Linked DNA regions of Yarrowia lipolytica. The protein of the gene in region 1 interacts with the protein of each later gene in a pairwise test. Links are inferred from orthologs where the notes say so. Each region holds a gene or a part of one and is shown in the gene's direction. Other genes may lie near its edges. The genes, in order: YALI1_D24941g, YALI1_E08828g, YALI1_B15692g and YALI1_F08757g.

What was found.
Region 2: the proteins of YALI1_D24941g (region 1) and YALI1_E08828g interact in binary tests that used the Saccharomyces cerevisiae proteins (3 or more experiments, as listed by UniProt). The link is inferred for Yarrowia lipolytica from reciprocal best matches to the Saccharomyces cerevisiae genes LOC1 and RRP12.
Region 3: the proteins of YALI1_D24941g (region 1) and YALI1_B15692g interact in binary tests that used the Saccharomyces cerevisiae proteins (3 or more experiments, as listed by UniProt). The link is inferred for Yarrowia lipolytica from reciprocal best matches to the Saccharomyces cerevisiae genes LOC1 and BRX1.
Region 4: the proteins of YALI1_D24941g (region 1) and YALI1_F08757g interact in binary tests that used the Saccharomyces cerevisiae proteins (3 or more experiments, as listed by UniProt). The link is inferred for Yarrowia lipolytica from reciprocal best matches to the Saccharomyces cerevisiae genes LOC1 and NOP12.

The regions. Positions count from the first base shown.
Region 1 is NC_090773.1:2,491,378-2,495,577, forward strand, and holds YALI1_D24941g (uncharacterized protein), read left to right. Parts: upstream 1-2,705; coding exon 2,706-3,296; downstream 3,297-4,200. Other genes in the region: YALI1_D24918g (uncharacterized protein), read left to right, coding at 427-2,502. UniProt on the Saccharomyces cerevisiae protein: Required for efficient assembly and nuclear export of the 60S ribosomal subunit. Involved in asymmetric localization of ASH1 mRNA.
Region 2 is NC_090774.1:877,967-885,114, reverse strand, and holds YALI1_E08828g (uncharacterized protein), read left to right. Parts: upstream 1-2,244; coding exon 2,245-5,796; downstream 5,797-7,148. Other genes in the region: YALI1_E08782g (uncharacterized protein), read left to right, coding at 6,888-7,148. UniProt on the Saccharomyces cerevisiae protein: In association with GSP1, required for nuclear export of both pre-40S and pre-60S ribosomal subunits. Required for the late maturation of the 18S and 5.8S rRNA of the pre-40S ribosomes and for maturation of the 25S and 5.8S rRNA of the pre-60S ribosomes.
Region 3 is NC_090771.1:1,566,900-1,571,113, forward strand, and holds YALI1_B15692g (ribosome biogenesis protein BRX1), read left to right. Parts: upstream 1-2,357; coding exon 2,358-3,218; downstream 3,219-4,214. Other genes in the region: YALI1_B15670g (uncharacterized protein), read left to right, coding at 174-1,223; YALI1_B15703g (uncharacterized protein), read right to left, coding at 3,227-3,459, 3,502-3,583; YALI1_B15706g (uncharacterized protein), read left to right, coding at 3,760-4,214. UniProt on the Saccharomyces cerevisiae protein: Required for biogenesis of the 60S ribosomal subunit.
Region 4 is NC_090775.1:873,360-878,576, forward strand, and holds YALI1_F08757g (uncharacterized protein), read left to right. Parts: upstream 1-2,347; coding exon 2,348-3,877; downstream 3,878-5,217. Other genes in the region: YALI1_F08745g (uncharacterized protein), read right to left, coding at 1-1,190; YALI1_F08784g (uncharacterized protein), read left to right, coding at 5,113-5,217.

The DNA.
Region 1 (4,200 bases):
ACAGCGACAGGTCCACTCACCAAGTGACAAGAGGAGGGAGACCACAATAACCTCGACTCAGCCTGACATCCATCTAACACACCGACAATAGTTGAAACAAGGAGCTAAAGAGATAGTACTGTAGTCTGCCCCTGATACTACAGTAATAACAACGAATCATACACCATCCGAGTTGTTAATTAATTTGTGCCTGACGACCTGAACACGGCCTTTGTTGCGACAATACAGTACCCTCGACTCTCGCTACAGTACTAACATCACTATTGAACCCGCTCGTTACTTGCAGACTATCTTCGATCTGCGAATTACATCCATTCTTGTCGTCAATTCGGTTGTCATCTTCTCAAGAAAGCCACGTCGACACTACTCGCTCCTAAGGGTCCTTTTCTATCCAATTGACACTTGATTCACTCGGACTCCAGGACAATGTACAAAGCAAAGACCTTCTCCGAGCTCGTGTTCCAAGCAACACCCTCGGACCAACCTTGGCAACAAAACAACATCTCCCCAGCTACCCGAACAGCCTTCCCAGTGAGAATCCACAAAACAGAGGGAACTGTAGCAGGAGCACCTTCCCTCTGCCAACCGCGCGATCAACCCTCCCCCCAGAGCTTCCACACGTTCCACAGTCCCAAAAACAATTCCTCTCGTGACACCAATCTTGGCTCCTGTCTCTTTACCTCCGCTGATAGTCTCATCACGTTTGATTTCGGCCAAAACATTTGTGGCGTCGTCACTCTCAAATTTGGACCCAGAAGCTCAAAGACAATTCTGGGACTCGCCTTCTCCGAATCAAGCGATTTCGTTGGCAGAAACTCGGACAAATCTGTCGACTTCAAGGTCACCGATGGCCACGTGACTGTCGAGGTATACCCAGGCATCTCCGAATACACAATGCCTGTGGAGAAGCTGAGAGGAGCATTTAGATACCTGACAGTGTTTGTAGCGAGCAAAACCCGTGACTGCATTGCACATGTGACATCTGTGTCTTGCAAAATGACCCAGATGCCTTCTTCTGCCTCCCTCAACAAATACTCTGGGTTTTTCCACTCCAGTGATCCTCTGCTGAACAAAATTTGGTACGCTGGAGCTTACACTATCCAGCTTGCGACCATATCGTCAGTCCAGGGTCGCAAGAGTGACTACGTCGTCAAATCTCGTGGATGGGACAATTCTGGTCATGTAAGTCAGGGCCTGGAGGTGCTTACTGACGGTGCAAAGCGAGACCGTAGCGTCTGGTCTGGTGATCGGCTCATTAGCACTTCAGTTTACCACTGTGCTTTCGGAGGTGTCAATTCGGCTGCCACCGCAACTGCAATTGATTGGATTTTTGCGGGCCAACAGCCTGATGGACGTCTTCCTTACGCTTGCAAGCCTGCTGATCTTTACGGCTCCGATACCTTCCACTTGTGGGGGTTACTGGGCTTGTATGAGCTGTGGCAACACAGTGGAGATTTCCAGCGAGTGCGAGAATTATGGGTTCCGTTCAAAAAGGGAGTGGAACTGGGTATGAGCTGGATCGACTCTGACTACGGACTGGCCAAGATTGTTTGTGGTCTTGATTGGGGCCGGTCTGTACTTCAGGGTCATTCTCTTTCTTTGAACGTGCTTCTTTATGCCTGCTTAGTGTGCTCGGTCGAGATTGGCAACCTCTTGGGAGAGCCTGAAGCTCAACTAGCTATCTGGATCAATACCGCTGAGAGTCTGCACGTGCGTATCAACGAGCTGCTCTGGGACGCAGAGAAAGGTCTCTTCAAAGATAACCTCTCGTCAACACTCTACCCCCAAGATGGCAACTGCCTGGTAATTTACTATGGGGTGTGTGATGGTGAACGGTCAAAGACTGTTTCTGAGAGGCTCTTTGCTCGTTGGAACCAATTTGGACCTATCAACCCTGAGAGTAACGGCATGATCAGCACATTTATCAGTGGTATTGAGGTTATGGCTCATCACCAAGCTGGAAGAACCCTTAGAGCACTAGCTCTTATTCGCCAGACCTGGTCTTACGCTCTGTCTGCGCCCTGGAGTGTCAAATCCAGTCTTGTGGAGGGCTTCTATAAGGACGGAACCTGCTCTTATCCGTCCGATAAGCATGACAGCAGCTACATCAGCCACAGCCACCCCTGGTCTACAGGTCCCACGAGCTTTCTCAGCTACAAAATCTGTGGACTGCGCTTCACCAACCCCAACCACGTGACCTGGACTCTTCAGCCTACTCTGGCTGATTTGGATTTCTGCATTACTGGGTTTACTTCGGCCAAGACAGGGTATCTCGTTGGAGGGTGGAAGCGGGACTCGAAGAACCTGCTCCAGATTGCAGTAAAGTCTACTCCAGGGACTATTGGCGAAATTTGTGTCCCTCTCATTCTCGGTAAGCAGCTGAAGATGACTGTCAATGGTGTCAATGTGAATCTGTTGAATCTCGAGATGGACGAAGGATGGGCGTATGTCAAGGGGATCGAGGGCGGTTGCCATACCGTCTACGCTTGGTATCTAGACTAGCAGATTGGTCTTGGTTTACCAATTGACATAATTACAAAGTAAATTTCTTTAATCGCATCTATCGGAATTGAACACACAAACTCTTCACGCCACATACATTATCTTCATAAAATTATTCCAACCTTAAAAAAATTGTGCATGCACGAGCCGTAGATTTCGATTCTCGACCAGAGCACCAGACCTATACATCTCATACACACGCCATGGTCCCCAAACGATTTCGAAAGGAGAACGCCGGCGCGCGAGAGGTCAAGAGTGAGGTTTTCGGCGACAAAAAGGCTCGAAACCAGCTCGCACACACCTCGAAAAACTACGACAACGCCAACGAGCAGCCCCGCAAGTTCAAGAACCGGGTGGCCAAGCCCAAAGACAACGGCAAGCCCAAGGTCAAGAAGGCCCGAGTGTACACAGAAAAGGAACTGGGAATCCCCAAATTGAACACGGCCATCGATCCCGAGGGAGCCAAGAAGGCACTGAGAGGCAAGAAGGGCAAGAAGTTTGTGGATAACGACCAAATGAACCTGTTAGTTAGCATTGTCAACGAGAAGATTGACTCTCGAAACGCCAGTAAGCTGGAAAAGGCCCGTCAGCTGGAGATGATCCGAGAGCAGAAGCGAAAGGAGATTGAGAAGCGAGAGGCTGAGAAGGAGGCCGAGATCGAGCAGAAGAAGAAGGAAATCAAAAAGACCAGCCGAGGCAAGAGTGCTGACAAAGTGCAGAAGAAGATGGAGGAGCTCAAGAAGAAGGAGGAGGGCAAGGGAAATTCCAAGAAGAAGAGCGTCAGCTTTGCTTAATTATCGGGAGGTATATACTATATGCATTTGTTTATCTGGAGGGATGAGGGGAGACGAGGACGGTAGTTGTGATTCCGGGAGTATTTCAAGAGGTACAGCATCTTTTGAAGTTTGAAGGTAATTGACGGTAATTGACGAGATGTCTGTCAGAATCTCTTTCTGACGAATGAGCAAGCCCACACCCTTCTGGTTTGTGCTACTCTCGGACGTGGTGTTCTCAGAAGTGGGCTGTAAGGCGTTCCATTGACTATATCTAATCAATCATACATATGAACAACAATTTGATCTTGAAGGTGGAACGGGTATATAGAGTAATCAACGAGTTGTTGGATGGGATATCTGTAGTATATATGAATCAACTGTACAAGTACAAGTACAAGTGGGAGTACTTGTACTTGTACTCTATTTTTTTTTACATCAATACATCAATACTTCCTAAGGCTGTATATACTATTGGCAACAACTGTTTAACCAGGTGTTCTCAGCTTACACAAGTATACACTTGCTACAGTTTGTACTTGTATATATAAAAATTCTGAGCTACAAGTACATACTGCAGTCACTTTTCGAGACGACGTTATCACATTCAGATACAGCAGTTTACTTCACTGGGCTTCTCTTCCTCACTTGCTATGCGATATCAACGTCTTGTCGTAACAGGGAGTGTGATGTAAATATTCCTCGTGCTTATATGTAGAATGGTCAGGACCAAATAAAAAGCCATAAAAGCCATAAACAGGGAGGTTGTTCAGGGGAGGTTCGTTCCTGATAGGTTTGTTCATGATACTACAAGTAGCTGTAACTATTTCTCCTGTAGTTATTCTTCTGTTCCTACATCAGTCTTCATAACCCTACAAGATTATTCAGGCTACACACATTTGATTCTTACAGACTATCACTAGAG
Region 2 (7,148 bases), on another chromosome or scaffold:
GATGGGGGGGTCTGAATGGGCGTCACTGCTATGGTTAAAAGACTGACTAATGTGTGATCCAACATTCTATTGTGATACCGCATATATCACCACCGTAGACACCTAGCATTTGCTGCTAAAGCTCTGAGATTACCAGGTCTAGCGAGAGCTTAGTTGCACGTGGAAAATTTAATGATGAACGCTCTTCGCGTGATCGTCTCAAATACTGCCATCCCAGGCACGGTGCATGGATGATGCGAGATTAGGTTCGCGAGAAGTTTAGTTTTGCTGACACGTTTAAACAAAGGGCCAACAAGTGTTTACTTAGAATTATAACTAATTAACAAACAAGCCATTGGCTTAAGTATTATTTAACATTCATTTGCTGAGGGATGTTCAATGAAGAACAGCGAGAACAAGAGAAGCTCCAAGCGACAGCTCAGAAGAGACAGACCAGGGGCTTCGTTAACGAGAGCTGAGACATTAACATCCTCAACAGACAAGTACGTTGGGTAAAGAAACATAAGGCCATTGGTACTGTGCCGTCCTTGGAAATGGTAGACAAGATTCCAGAGTCCTTGAGGCAAGAAAAGCCACCACCGAAGGACTCTGAGTCTGTTTCAAAGTTTGAAAACCAGTCATGTCAAACTACCAGGAGCCTTCAGCAGCCTTGGGTTCAACCTCCAATCTGAGGGATACAGTCGTGAGCGCCAGAGATTGGACTATGAAAATGTGGAGCATCAAGCAGAAAATGCACTCGTGTGCTAAAGAGAAGAAGAAGCATCCACACTCACATTCTCTGACACAAAGTGATACATACATTCGTTCTGGAGAGAGAGTGAGGGTGTGGAAGCTTCCTGAAAAGGATAGGCATGTAGAATACAGCAGTGCCTGTGCACATTTTGCGGGCTGTAAGAATTCTCTCAGAGCAACTGACATCCATGGAGATACCCTTGTGCGGATTCTTGTACAACAGTGCGTGTAGGGATCCTGACTAACCCGGAGAGTGCCAATATGTGCTTGAAGGACATTAAAAGCGTGCGTACGATGTTGCTCATGTCCTCATTACTGTAGAGGTGTATGTTACTCGGGGTTTCCTTATGGGGTTATTCAGAAGTGGAACTTGGACTCTGGCACTTGTTTGTCAGTGCTGGAAGGCTGTAAGCGCATGGTTAATCTGCTGTGTCACGACGAATCCCTGGGTTCGGCATCAATTCATTTCAAAACTGGTGTTTAGAATCCAGGAATCTGGAGAGCTTGTCTACATCAGAGTCCATGGAATATCGTGCATTAGATAACATTAGATTAGTTCCCGTGGAAGAAGTATTCAGTGGTCCTCCGCAGAGGAACTGTCTCGGTCAATTTGGGCAAGGAAGTAGTTTCTCAGCCACTTGTTGTAGTGTCCAACGTCAACGCGGAATATGATAGGCTGTTTGTCGGTATCATAACGAGTCTGATTTATTTAATCGACTGTTACTCAACTATAGGGTTGAATTGAAGATCATGGGTGTTGATGAATTGAAAATGACTTCATGAGAACATGAGCACAGGAGCGTCTGAATGAACAGAAGAGGTCGGACTCCTCAGCACAAGATACAACACAGCACGCACCTGGAGGGACACAGCATATGGTCTCCTTTAATGGATTGACCCCAACACTGTTACACTGGACTTGTCGAAAGAACATTGCTTAACCACATCTCGTGTCTTGCCACTATTTTTCGAAATCGTGTACAGTGAACTTCTTATTTGGTGGCTCTGTGCGTGGGTATGAAGAGATTGTATATAAATATATCAACATTTAATTTGTATAATATAATTTTGTATAATATAATTTTATTATAATATATTGTATAATATTTGCAGTATATTCGATAATATTGGACTGTAATTGTGACTTGTACAGAGGCATGTCCCCTTACAGCAGAAGTTCACCCCCAACACTCCCATTGCAGTGTCAATCTAGAATTTGACATTTTCTATTTCTTTTTTAAAAAAAGGAATAGCCGAGAATCGAAGTGAGTGACACCGCAACCATAATGCCACAGTGGAGACACGATATTGGAATGCCAACAAGTTAAGACTACTACAAATGTAATATACACCAGAATACCATCTCGTATTACCCCAGAAATCTCCCCAAACAGCCCACACCACTATCCACCTCTTCTCCCACCAACCTGATAAACTCGCAGTGCATCAACTCTAATATTTTTTTCAAGTCTTCTGCAAAGTGACAATTGCAGTTGCACGCACCATCTACAAATGTCCGAACTCGACCATACGGAACCGCTGGAGGACAAGCTGGACCGGATCCGCGTCCATGTCAACTCCAAGCTGGCCAACCAGAAACAGTTGGCCATTATTTTGGGAGCCGTGGAGGAGAATCTCGAGGAGGAAAAGACCGAGAAGACCGCCACCTCCTACTTCATTTCTTTCCTTGCTCTGCTAGAGCAATCGTTCAGCCGCCAGGCCCCCGATCAGCTCGAGAATACCGATCTAGCCGCCTCGGCTCTCTATTTCCTCGACCTTGTGTCTCCCTTCGCCAGCGAATCTCTTCTGCGGGCCAAGTTTTCGCAGATTTTCGTCAAGCTCGCACCCGTGTTGGGCTCGTCCGATTCCGAGTCTGCGCTACTCAGATCCGCCATTGGCACTCTGCAGCATCTGCTGCTGGCCCAGGATGCTGCCTCGTGGCAGACCCCTGCTTCTGAGCTGTCTCCCCGACGAGGAGTGGTTGGTCTGATGCATCTGGCCGTCAATCCCCGTCCCAAGATCAGAAAGCGAGCTCTGGACGCACTTGCCAAGATCCTCGAGACCCGAGTATCTCCAGTGCTCGTCGAGCATCCTGCTGCCGCAACCTGTGCCGACACAGCCCTGAAGGCCGTCAAGCAGTACCTGGAGAACCACAAGAAGGAGGATACCGTGGATGCCGGCTTCATGCATGCGCTGGCTCTGGTGAAAACCATCTGTGGCGTTGGAATGTGGCCTATGTCGCAGTTTGACGAACTCTGTCAGCTGCTGCTGTCTATTTCCAAGACTACCAACCAGATGCTGATCCAGGCTACCTTTGGCATCTTTGAGGGTGTCTTTCGTCACTTTGCCAAGTCTGAAGAGGACGAGAACAACAAGACACGAAAATTGCTGGTTATTCTCGATGCTGTGATCGACCAGGCTCCCGCCACCAACGACCAGCATCTTGCTCCTGCCTGGTTTGCTGTTGTTGCCCAGGGAGTGGGTGCTCTTGGAGAGGTCAACCCTGATAAGGGACTGGCCAAGACCCCCGTGGTTTTCCAGAAGGTATGTGCCTATCTCGACTCTGAGGCCGACAGTGTGCGAACCTCTGCTTCCCAGTGTCTCGTTGCTCTGTGTTCTTCCATCAACCAAAAGTCGCTTCAGAACGGCGACAAGTGGCTGTCCAAGCTCGCGGAGATGGCCACGATGCTTCTGTCCGTCCAGACCCGGGCTTCTCTCGTCGACTCTACGAACGTTGTGGCAGCTCTACTCGACACTCTCAGATGGAAGTCCGACCCCTTCCTTGTGGAGGCTGTGACAATTATTGGAGGTCTCCGAACTGAGGAGTCCTTCGTTAACGGCATTCCTGCTCTCGACAACGCTCTTGGGTCCGCTATTCGTGCCATGGGACCTGCCAAAGTGCTAGAACTGCTCCCCCTCAACCTTTCAAACCCCTCTTCTGACAACCCCGGACGAGCCTGGATGCTCCCTCTACTGAGAGACAACATTCACAATTCAGAGATTGCCTTTTTTAAGAGCGAGTTCTTGCCACTGATCGAGTATTTTGACGACAAGATCTCGACTACCAAGGGCGCCACCGCAAAGGTCTTCGAGGCTCTGCTGGCCCAGGTCTGGTCCGTTCTGCCCCGTTTCTGCGCTCTGCCCATGGATCTCCAGCAGTCGTTTGACCAGTCTTTTGCCGAGCTGCTCTCCAACAAGCTCTATTCCAACATTGAGATCCGACCTGTTATCTGCCAGTCGCTGCGTCTGCTTGTCGAGAGCAATGTGGTGTACGCCGAGGAGCCCGAGGCTGCTGAGTCCGAGGATGTGAACGACGACCTGCTGCTTCTGGAGCGATTCCCCCGATCCGAGGCCGAGTCTAACGTTGCCTACCTCGGAACCGTGTCTTCCAAGATTCTTGCGGTGCTCTTCAACGTGTACGGACAAACTATTCCCGAGTCTCGAGGCTTCATTCTCGAGTGCATCAACGCCTACCTCGGCATCACCCCCGCCGGCGAAATTGGCGACATCTTCGATAACGTGTGTGGAATGCTTCACAAGGCTCTGGAGGATGAGGCCAAGGAGTCTAAGCCTGAGAAGGACGCCCTGCCAGCAATGTCGCTCACCATGCTTGACATTCTCATCGCCCTCGTGCCTTACATCCCTGCCTCTTCTCACAACACTCTGCTGACCGTCTTTGTGCAGATGATCCAGAACTCCGACCCCAACCACCAAAAGAAGGGCTACCGTCTTTTGACCCGTCTGGCCGAGGCCGACAACAGCTTCGAGACTCTGGAGAAGCATCTTGACAACATCTGTGGTGTTGTTCTCGAGTCTGCTGAGTCTGTCACTGCTGTGTCTCGAGGCGCTCGAGTGGCCGCTCTGGCGAAGCTGGTGGCTCTGCTGCCCGAGAACGATCTGTATTTCATCCCCGCTACCGTCTCTGAAGCCGTCATTGCCACCAAGGACGTCAACGAGAAGACCCGAACGTCCGCTTACAACTTACTGGTTCTCATGGGCGAAAAGATGGCTCGAGGAGGAGTAATTGACAACACTCGAATCCCCGGTCTCGAGGATGCCGGTCTGGGATCCGTCAACGCCAACCTGACTGAGTTCTTCAAGGCCGTGTCTGCTGGTCTGGCAGGAACCTCACCCAACCTGGTGTCTGCCACCATCACGGGTCTGTCCCGAATCTTGTTCGAGTTCAAGGACGACGTGCCCATGGATATGCTCAGCGAGCTGTCTCAAACCGTTGAGCTGTTCCTGACCTCGCAGAACAGAGAGATCGTCAAGTCGACTCTTGGTTTCGTCAAGATTACGGCCATCTCTCTCCCCATCGATCTCGTGGAGCCCCAGCTCAGCGAGCTTCTCCCAAAGCTGCTGCACTGGTCCCACGAACATAAGGGCCATTTCAAGGCCAAGGTCAAGCACATTGTCGAGCGTCTGATCCGACGGTTCGGCTTCGACACCATTGAAAAGCATTTCCCCGAGGCCGACAAGAAGCTGCTGACCAACATCCGAAAGTCTAAGGAGCGATCCAAGCGAAAGCGAACCGAGGAGAAGGAGGAAGATGCTCCCATGTCGTCTACCAAGCCCAAGAAGGAGTTTGCCTCTGAGTACGAGCGAGCTCTGTACGGAGACTCGGATTCTGAAGACGAGGATGACTATGAGGAGGAGGAGACCACCAAGCGGGCCTCCAAGTACATTATGAAGTCCGACGACCCTCTGGATCTGCTGTCGCAGCAGGCTCTGGCTCACATCACTTCTTCCAAGCCTAGAGGAAAGAAGGAGCCTCTTCTCAAATCGTCCAAGTTCAAGACTAATGAGTCCGGTAAGATGATCTTTAAGGAGGATGAGGAGGAGGACGTGATTCCCCAGGGCTCGGCCATCGACCATTACGTTGAGGCCATCAAGAACGGACCTGTGCGAGGACAGAAGAACAAGTACAAGTATAAGAAGTCAAAGGGAGGAGATGACGACGGAGGAGATGATGACGACGTGGTGCCCAAGCGACCCACCAAAAAGTTTTCTCGAGGTGGCGTGAGCAAACCCAAGGGCAAACCTCAGCAGCGACGAAAGTTTTAATTGAATTGTATTATTGAATGGTTATGAATATATACGGAGATGGTGTACAATATGTAGTGTAGAAGGACTGGGAACTTGACGTAGACATGGTCTGGAAACTTACTGAGAAGCTGATTCCTACACCTGTCGGGGGAGATATTCGTAAAGCCTCGAGGCATACAAAAGTATCGGTACTGTACAGTACATCAAATACCAGTAGTGTGCACACAGAACTTATCGATCCGTTTGCACAGGCACTGCAAGAAGTCGATTTTTTTTTTATTCTAATGATTCGTGTGTATCGTTATTGAGTCTTTGCGACATCGGGGAGTTGAAGTTTGGAGTAGGGGTATGGTTGTTATGTTTTTGAGGTTTTTTTTTTTTTTAGTTTAGTTTTTTTTTTTTTTTTTCTAATGATTTCTTCGTTTTTTCAGAAGTTTTGAAACTACACAGAACCACCCACCTACATCTCAATAAAAAACTTGGGCGTCTGGTGTAAGGACCAAAGTCGCTTATAAGGGCTTGGGGACGGTGCCGGGTCACGTCAAGGGTGACTGTTTTCCCCCCTGGGACGCACCCGGGGGGGAGTATATAAGAAGACATTTATGTATGATTAAAAAAGTGATCACCACCTGTGAACGTATACAGACAGCGAGCAACGGTTAGATTAAGACAGCGGACAATCTACCGACTGAGAATATTCCGCAGATAAGAGACGATCGGAATCTTATATCTGGTGTAGTTGGTTATCACATGCGCTTTAGCATGGCGCGAGGTCCCCGGTTCGATTCCGGTGTCGTCCACTCCTTTTGTGATCACAATGATCTGGTATTTTTTTTTCTACCTACCCATGGCTGTATCAAGTCCTCATATTGGCAAGTCACCACAGATCATATTTTTTTATATCGTAGATAAGGTTGCATATCAATCCCAGTTATCTCAACCTTATTTGTTCCCTCCACTTTACCAATACTTACCGCGACTATTGCAGAGCAACAAACAATCTGCTCCTTCGATTAGCATCTTCATTGTCTTGCACAAACGAACCTACTCTCTTCTACTGCGTCATTACACTACCCTCATCGAATTTTCCACCACCTTCCCCACAGATCATGATCAGGAAGATTGTAGTATTCCTGGTGTGTGGAGCTCTTCTCATTTTAAAGAGCTACATATATGCCTATCATAGGTTCCCTAAACATGACACACTCTCTGTGAAGGAACACGGTGGTACTAACAGCTACAGCCCTGTCATGGAATTGCACAGGAGCCTGGTTGATATCCCTTCCGTGTCATACAATGAGACTCACGTGTCTCGTTTTCTGCAGCTTTATCTCTCAACCAGAGGTTACACTATCGACTTGATTGGAGAT
Region 3 (4,214 bases), on another chromosome or scaffold:
CGAGAGATCTAACTGCAACGGTGAATTAGCTACAGTTCTCCTTATGATTGCATTAGCGTAGTAACAGTCAACTTGGCAGACCTGGCCCGAACCGAACTTCCTCCGACCCGCACTGTCAAGTATAAATACATCGATGTAAGTGGTCCTTACAACTCAACTCACCTACAACTACAATGGTTCTATCTACAGTCATTGGAGAATGGTTCTCCAGAGTTCTTTTTGGAACCGTTGCTCCTTCTCCCCTTACAGCCACTGCCCCCATCTCTCAGGACTTTTACGACACTGCCCTGACTTTCTCCCACCTCTCCAATGTTGCCTACTGTATCAATACTCCATTGGAGTCTTTGAAATCTGACTTCTCTTGCGGAGTAGCATGCTCTCACTTTCCTAACATGGAGCTGGTCGAAGTGTTTGGAGGTGAGTTTTTCGAAACCTCCATCACCGGATTTCTTTCTATTGACCATGTCAAGAAAGAGAAGTATGTGGTTTACCGAGGAACCTACGACATCGGAGACGTCTACACCGACATCCAACTGTCCCAAAGCCCCTTTCTCGTCACTCCTTCTGCCCTAGGATCGACTGCAAACCTCTGCGAGGGATGCACTATTCACGACGGCTGGAACAAGGCTTACAATGAGACCATGGGCATTATTGGAGACAAGCTGGCTGATCACGTTAACAGCAACCCTGACTATCGATTGGTTGTTACTGGTCATTCTCTGGGTGCTGCTATTGCGGTACTTTCTGCTACAAGTCTCAAGGTGAACGGTCAGGATCCCTATCTTTACACCTATGGTCAGCCTCGTATTGGAAACGCCAACTTTGCCAATTTTGTCTCCAAGCAGTGGTTTGGCGAAGGAGATGGTCTCAGCATGGATTCTGATAGACGTTACTTCCGACTGACTCACTGGAACGATCTGTTTGTAGGATTCCCCGCTTTCAAGGACTATGTCCACTCTGTGGGAGAAATCTACATTGATTACTTCACTGTCCAGCCTCCTCTGAACAAGGTCTTCTCTTGTGCCGGTCCCGAGAGTATGAGCTGTTACAGAAAGGACTTTAACGCTCTTGCTCGGTTAGACATTGTCAAGAACCACCTGGCCTACTTTGACTGGATCTCTTTATGCACTCTCAATATTGGACGTCGAGATCTGGAGAGAGGGCGCAAGTTTGAAGGTACTTGGCTCTACGGAGGTCTTGCCAACGGTTCCACCATCTTTTAGAAGGTAGAAGAGAGTGACTGGGGATGATCTTTGACCACCAGCTTCCATATTTGAATGACCCTCTTTCAATCTGTATAAATTACTGTAGACTATGATAATATCTTTTGACAATCGTGTAGAAGTACAGGTCGAGAGAATGGACAGTTGCACATATTAAATTTCCTATTCTATAGATGCCACAATTGTATTACTGTAGGTCTTTTGTTTCTCAATATTTCCAGAGTGGTTTGCTGGACTGAGGGTCGCATCGCTCTTGTTTCAATGATTTTATTGTGTTGTATTATTAGGGGGGTGGGTGTGAAGAACGCGGAAACTGACATGACCAACAGGTGATAGAACAGACAAGTTTCCAGAAAAGCTGGTTTTATTCTACTTCACGTAGTCCCCTTCTACAGTATCATTGTGGATTCTGTGGAACCATAGGCACCAAAGGAGTATCTGAAAGTAAACAGAAACGATTGAGGGCATGTTAATGAATATACTTGAGACTAAACATAGATTCACATGTGCTAGTACCGGTATATAAGACAAATACCTTCTTTTTTTGCACCTAGGATATACTGTACTTGTATGAGCAGGGTACCTGGACATACATCGTCCCCAACCCAACTCTGGTGTTCCGACTAGACTCGATATGAGTCTTGAAATTTGAGCGAGCACGCTGCGCAGACATTGGGTATGATGGATGAAAAGAGCGCTTCGTTTGTGCAATTGACCAGGGATGCTTGTTGCTGAATCATCTCATGATTTTAATCAAAATTTGTAGTTACAAATACTTGAACTTGTACTTGTAGAGTAAATGTTCAGTTCTTTTGATAACTGTAGCTAACATACATGCTGACTGCTGTGCTTTCAAATTCAGCACAATTGCACACCTCCAGGTGGCAAAATGAGCGCTAAAGTTGAATAATTGAAGTATAGCCAATGAAAGACCAGCTTACAAAAGAATAGAAGTCTTTTTCTTGCATATATTCAAAATCTACCCTTGTACCAAAATGAAGGATTCATCACCAAGTTTCAAGACACACTTCAAGGATTTTGAGTTTAACCCTAAAAAATATTTCTGCATGAATCGTGAAAATAAAATCCCAATCAGTATAGCATCACACACACAACACACACACTACACACACAATGTCGACACTATACAAGACCTTGAGCGGCGAGAGCTCTAAGCCCGAGAAGACCGAGAAGAAGGACGATGGAGTGACCAACAAGCAGCGAGTGCTGATCATCACTTCTCGAGGAGTGACCTTCCGACAAAGACATCTCATCAGCGATCTCCAGACCATGCTTCCCCATGGTCGAAAGGAGTCCAAGCTCGACACCAAGTCCAAGTTGTACCAACTCAACGAGATTGCTGAGATGTACAACTGCAACAACATTCTGTACTTTGAGGCCCGAAAGCATATGGATCTGTACATGTGGATGGCCAAGGCTCCCAACGGTCCCACCGCCAAGTTCCACATCCAGAACCTGCATACCATGGACGAGCTCAACTTCACCGGCAACTGTCTGCGAGGATCTCGACCTATTCTGTCCTTCGACAGCAGCTTTGACGACACCCCTCACAATGCCGTGATCAAGGAGATGCTGACGCAGACCTTTGGTGTCCCCAAGGGTGCCAGAAAGTCCAAGCCCTTCTTCGACCACGTCTTCACCTTTTCGCTGGTGGACAACAAGGTCTGGTTCCGAAACTACCAGATCCAGGAGACTGTCAACGAAGAAAACCCCCGAGAGACCGACATTTCTCTGGTTGAGATTGGTCCCCGATTTGTCATGACTCTCATCACCATGCTTGAGGGCTCTTTTGGAGGCCCCGTAATTTTCGAGAACAAGCAGTATGTGTCCCCTAACACTGTCCGATCGCAGATGAAGCAGCAGGCCGCTGAGCAGGCCGCCAGCCGAGCCGAGGCTGCCTTCAAGCGAAAGGTCAAGGTCAGAGATGCTGTTATTGCTGCTGACCCTCTCGCTGACTCTGTGATTTTCAAGTAAGCCAATGGCTAGAAGTGCAAGATTGAGCGGGTATTAGAGAGCAGCAGCATAGCTCGAGCGAAGGATACTGATAATAGAGTCGACTGGCTGTACGGACCGACTAGGAAAAGGTACATTAATAGATATGATGAATTTGATTGATAGACAGTAGAGGAGTACCAACTCTTACTTGTAGCAGCTTTGGCTATATGGCTTGTTACTGGTACTGGGAATGGCTGTATTGTTCTGTGGAGTGTTACAGCTAGAATGGTAGATACAGGGAAGACTCGTCAGATATGAAGACTCACAATTGATGTTGCTGCATCGTATATCCTCACTACAGTACATCCATACATGTCACTTGAGAAGTCGTGTTTACGATACATCGACATGTGTGCGTAACTAACCGTCGAACAAGCGTAAGATAAAGACACAAAAGGCACACTGTAAATAAAGCAGAGGCACTTAGGCCGTGCCACCATTTAATATATAAACGTCCGCCAATACGACCAGACTCACATATACAACCTAGATACAACAGATACATCATTGAGACAATCGAATGGCCACTCGACCTGTCACGTCAACACGAAACATTGCTCTCGGGTTTCTCGAAAAAGAGCTGGAAGAACACAAACAGCAGCTGTCGACCCAGAGGAGAGAGCTCGACATACGATTGAAACCTCTTAGAGACGAGAAGAACGAAGTTGTTAATGAGATCAAGAGTGCTCACAGCCTCCTTGACGGTCTTCAAGCCAAATTGAAGGACTTCGAAGACTTAGACAAGCGATTGAATGAACAGATCAAGGAGGAAGAGAAGAAATTCGAAGATGAGTTTGAGGGTCTGATGGCTAGGATTACGGGTCTCAAGGCTGCCCTCACTGAGCTAGGGAGTGTAAGACAATCTGTGGAGGTGAAGAAGGAAAAGGGTGTGATTGAGTTGGGTAGTGGAGGGGATGAGGGGTTGGAAGATGTCGTGAGTCGGGTCACAGAAGGGGTATCTGTAAACTCGATGTC
Region 4 (5,217 bases), on another chromosome or scaffold:
TCGGCGAGAGACGTCATGGCCGCAGGCCGCATGTCGACCTTGTCTGCGTCTGCGGGAGAGTCTTCCTTGTCATTGTCGTCGCCTTCGCCTTCCTCGTCGCCCTCGTCTTCCACCTCCTTTTCCTCGTCTTCGTCTTCGTCTTCGTCTTCGTCTTCGTCTTCATTCTCCTCCTTGTCCTTGTCCTCCTTGGTCACCTCCTCCTCTTTATCTTCCTCGTGTTCATTGTCGGAGGGCTCAGTCTGGTTGATGGGCGTAGGCATATCCTTGGTTTCGTTGGCGTCCTTATTGTCGACATCAGCCGTTTCTGATTCCTTGAGCCCCTCCTTGGCCTCGGCCTCCTTAGACTCATCCACAGCCTCTCCTTCCTTCTCAGAGATATGATTCACCTCAGGCTTGATGTCCTCAACAGGCACGGGCAAGGGAGGCGGTACTTCCTCGAGAGCCGAGGCAATGGCACTGGCAGTGATGAGCCCGGTGTCAGGACCCACATCTCCACCTTCTCCTTCTGCCTTGGCTGTGGTATCCACATCCATTCGGGCCGTTGTGTCTTCTTCTCCAATGTCATCATTTTCGTCGGTTTGACCATTAACTTTGGCCCGCTTAATATCTCTGTCATCCTCCTCATCGCGTTCACGCTTCATCTGCCGGATGTGGTCTTCCGACGACGATTCGCGCCGGCGCTTGAACGACTCTTCCTCTTCGTCGACCAGATCGTTGAGATAGAGCCGTTCGGTTTCGGCCTCGGAGTCCTCGAGTTCCGAGAGCTCGGACGAGTCGTCGCTGAGGTCCGCGGGGTTGAGCAGACTTGCTTTTCTGCCGTTGGACGTGGGCAGCGGCATGTCGTCTGTGGAGACAATGCTCGCGACCGTGGCAATACCCGAGTCGGCGTGCTCGGGATGCGTCACGGAGCCCTTGTCGCCCGCCGATTGTGTGTCTGTAGCTGTAGGTGGGGCTGTGGCCGTAGCCGTGGCCGAGGTTGCGGTTGCTCCTGTCGATGGAGACGGAGAAGAACGGGTCTTCTTGTCAGTTGGTGTGTGTGTGTCTCCGTTTGTGCCTGTGTCGTGGTCCTCTGCCACGTCATCCTTCAGCTCCTTGGCTTCGTCCTCATCGTGCTGCTGCAGGTCCAGCATGGCCTCGGAGTCGAGCTCGGATAGCGGAGACGTGACCATGTCGTCGTCGTTGGCGGTCATCAATTGGGTCGGTGTCGGGTTAGCGGCGTGCTCGCTTCCGGGTCTTGTAGAGAGCTAACACGTGACCTGTCGTTCTTTTCTCGGTCACCGTCGTCGCTCGGGTGTCGTGTGGTAGTGAGTGAGTGAGAAGAGAGAGAGTAGTGTAGTGGAGCTGCCGACTATGTTTTTTACTGTTGATAACAACGCAAGTCTTTTCCACCATGCACCAAACCCAGCTAAGTTTGGTGCGCATACAAGACGTGCGGAGAGGAGCACGTTATGGGAGAGAGAGTCGACAGAGGGCGAATAGTGCACATGCTGGGCCAACCAGGTTCCCAGAAGGGCTGTCTGGTGGTTCTGACAACTCGATTGACCGGCTTTTTGTCGTCTCCTCCCCTCTCATCACCACCGTATGGAGTCCCTGCAATCGTCTTCTTTTTTTTTCCCTTTTTTTCCTTCTTTTTTTCTCCCCTTAAAATACAACCATCATCCCCCGCCAAATCCACGCCCTACCTTGCTCCCATTTACACACACGATCATACCCAACCATGCCTCCCACCACATCCCAGGGGATAATCGACGTCAGATGATCGCCGGAAAGCCACCATGGACTCCAATCGACCGTCGCTCGTCGGTGTCGAAATTTGGCGCCGTTCCGTCCAGCCAATCTTCATATAATCGCCCCTCAGCCCCCCCTGGCAGCCGTGCCCCCACTGCCGTCGTATGTATGCAGAGCCACTCATTGGTTGACGGGACAGCGGCGCGTGTCAGAGGGTGGTGGAGAAGTGAGTCAGGACTGTGGTTAAGAAACGCGTCAAGGCTGAGGTTGTCGAAAGCTGGCACCGGAGGTTGATGATTGATGGCTTGGGTTGGATCGTGTTTAGAGGAGGAGATGCATAGGTTATGAGTATTGCTATTTGTGTCAGATTATGACCTCCTTGAGCCTTGCTAACGAATATAGTGGGGATACAACTGAGACGCCTGGGTCCCTTGGCCAAACTGGCGACCGGCTCTCTTTTATTCTAGCCGTAAATCGAGAGAGGGCTAGTTGTACTATTACACTGGACGCCTCCCACACAACCTTTATATGGTGTACATGTCTCATGCAAAGTTTGAATTTTTTTTGGCAAGAGTTTGAACAGAACAAGTGAGCTCAATCATTTGACCATCCAGCGACAATGACCACCACAAAAGACAACTCCGGACTCGCCGCGCTCTTTGCCAACTCCAGTGGTCCTCGTCAGAAGCCTCAGCGCGCTGGCAAGGTCGACCCGGTGCGTGACCAGCAAGAGGATAAGATGGAAGTAGAGGATGAAGAGGAGGATGAAGAGGAGGACGAAGAGGACGAAGAGGAGGATGAGGAGGATGAGGAGGATGAGGAGGAGAAGGAGGAGGACGACGACGACGACGACGACGAAGAGGAGATCGAAGAGCCTGTTATCAAGAAGAGCAAGAAGAACAAAAAGTCCAAGGAGGAGTCGGCCGACTTGGAGGATCAGTACATGGCCAAGTTGGCCGAGGAGGTGGCCGAGGAGAAGCCCATGGTCGCAGAGACCTCCGCGGAGGAAATCAAAGTCGATGAGCCCGAATCCGATTCTGAGGACGAACCCGAGCTGGACGTGGACGAAGAGACCAAGAAGAAGCTGGAGGCCACCAACAAGGAGCTGGACAAGGCCGACTACACCATTTTTGTCGGCAACGTGTCGTCCGAGGTGATCACCGACAAGACCGTGTACAACAACTTCAAGGCTCTGTTTGCGGCCATTGGAACCGTGGCGTCTGTGCGGTTCCGGTCCATCTCCTTCTCCAAGCTGCTTCCTCGAAAGGTGGCTTTCATTTCCCAGCAGTTCCACTCCAAGCGAGACACGGTCAACGCTTACATTGTGTTCAAGAACGTCAAGTCCGTCAAGGGCGCTCTGACGCTCAACGGCTCGGTTTTCAAGGGCTTCCACATGCGAGTCGACTCCGTGGCCCATCCCGGCGCCCAGGATCACAAGCGGTGCGTGTTTGTGGGAGCTCTGGACTTTGAGGAGCAGGAGGAATCCCTTTGGGAGGCCTTTTCGTCTTGCGGTGATGTGGAGTACGTGCGAATTGTGCGGGACCCCAAGACCAACGTTGGCAAGGGGTTTGCATACGTGCAGTTCAAGGACGTCAACTCGGTTGAGCAGGCTCTGCTGCTCAACGGTAAGGGCATCAACGAGCTCTCCAAGTCCACCACTAACAAGCGCAAGCTGCGTGTGTCGCGGGCCAAGAGCCAACACTCCCAGGAACGGGCCAAGCAGGCCGACATGAAGAACATTCGAAACGCAAAGACCGAAGGCCTGTCCCGAGACGAAAAGTCGCACTTTGGCCGGGCCCAGTCGCGGCTAGGCAAGGCCGGCAAGGCTCAGCTACAGTCCATTGTACAGGAGGGTCTGCGGGCTAAGAAAGAGGACGGCAAGGTCAACCTGGCCCGAAGCAAGCGACGAGGAGTCAAGCCCAACAAGAACCGAGTCGAGAAGCCTGGCCAGTCCAGAGCCGAGAAGCGAAAGGCCATGTTTGGAACCCCCACCAACGGCGCTCCCGGAGCTGGCGGCAAGAAGAAGCGTCTTACAACCCGATCCCAGAAGTTCAAGCAGGATGGAGGTGTCAAAAAGGACGGAGACGCCAAGAAGGATGGCCCCAAGAAGGAGAGGGATGGCTCCAAGAAGGGTTCCAAGAAGAACTAATTGGGTAGAGGTTGTATAGGTGAAAATAAATAGGCATTAGATTATTGTATTGTATTGGGGAGTAGGGTGGCAGTAGGGTAGCAGTTGAAGAGTTATATAAGAGTGTGGGGTTTACAGATGTGGTGATGGGGGAGTTTGTAATAGAATCACCATGTAATTCTCATCATAATGGTCATCTCTTCCAACAACACCATGAATCTCAGCTTGGATGCTAGAGGACGCAATAACGGGAGATGAAGAGTCGTCCGAGTACGGGCAGGTCCATGTTCAAGATTAGAAAGGTTTCTTTCCTGTTTCAGAGTCCTACTTTATCTCTCCCTCGAATTAACCACTACCTGGAACGTTGAGATTATCAAGTAATTGTCAAGTAAATTATCAACTACAAGGACATTATTGTTACTGGAAAAATCAGCATGAAAGCCACCCATATCCATGGTTCATACAAGTACAGTACTTTCATCGTATACGCCTCAAGAGATACCATAAATCACATGACTTCCACCGCCTGCCACCCTCCACGAAATCACGTGCCATATACCCCTTCCGTATATCCGATGTAACTGAATAACGGTATGTCCATGCTGTACTTGTACTGGTAGTCGAACTGTAGATCTTGTGGGTAAGATTTTGGTGGCGAACAAGACCATCACAATGAGACCAGAAAGAACCATTGACTGGGTACAAGTACAAATACAAGTATAAGTTCTTGGGGCGAGGCTCATCACGTGACACACCCGCGCTATATCATTCCCGTGTCACGTGACAACGCCGGGTTCCCGCAGCTCATCCGCTCCATCCGGGACCCACCTCAGGAGGAGTTTGTAATTTCCGGAGTTCGGAGTCCGTGCTTAAAAATAGCACGCTGTAAGATAACCGCGTGCATCCACACAGCCACAGTGCGAAGTGTGAGGATCAATCAGTCTGAAAAAAAAGGGGTTCAATGAATGTGAGAGCAATTTTAGAAGAGATTGGGGGGTCTTTTGGGGCTGTGAAATACAACTCCGCTTTTATTTGGCCCCCAAAATGGGACTAAACGGCCTCATCACGACCCTTCTCTTCTCCCCTTCCATATCACACGACTTGCACCGATAACGCAATCCCCACCCTTTGCAACCTAAAAAAAGAGTGCCGTGTAACCACAAAGGTCTCGCGTCTGTTGTTTATATATAGCGTAGGGTCCGACTTTGGCGACCACCAAATAGTTTGCCCTTCTTCTTTTTCTTCCTCTTCATATCATGGGCTCCTCTCCCTCCAAACAAGCCCAATCGGACGCGCAAAAGTCGCTAACCCGGCTGTCCAAGGTGTCTGAAAAGCACTTTTATCCTGACACCGCCACTCCC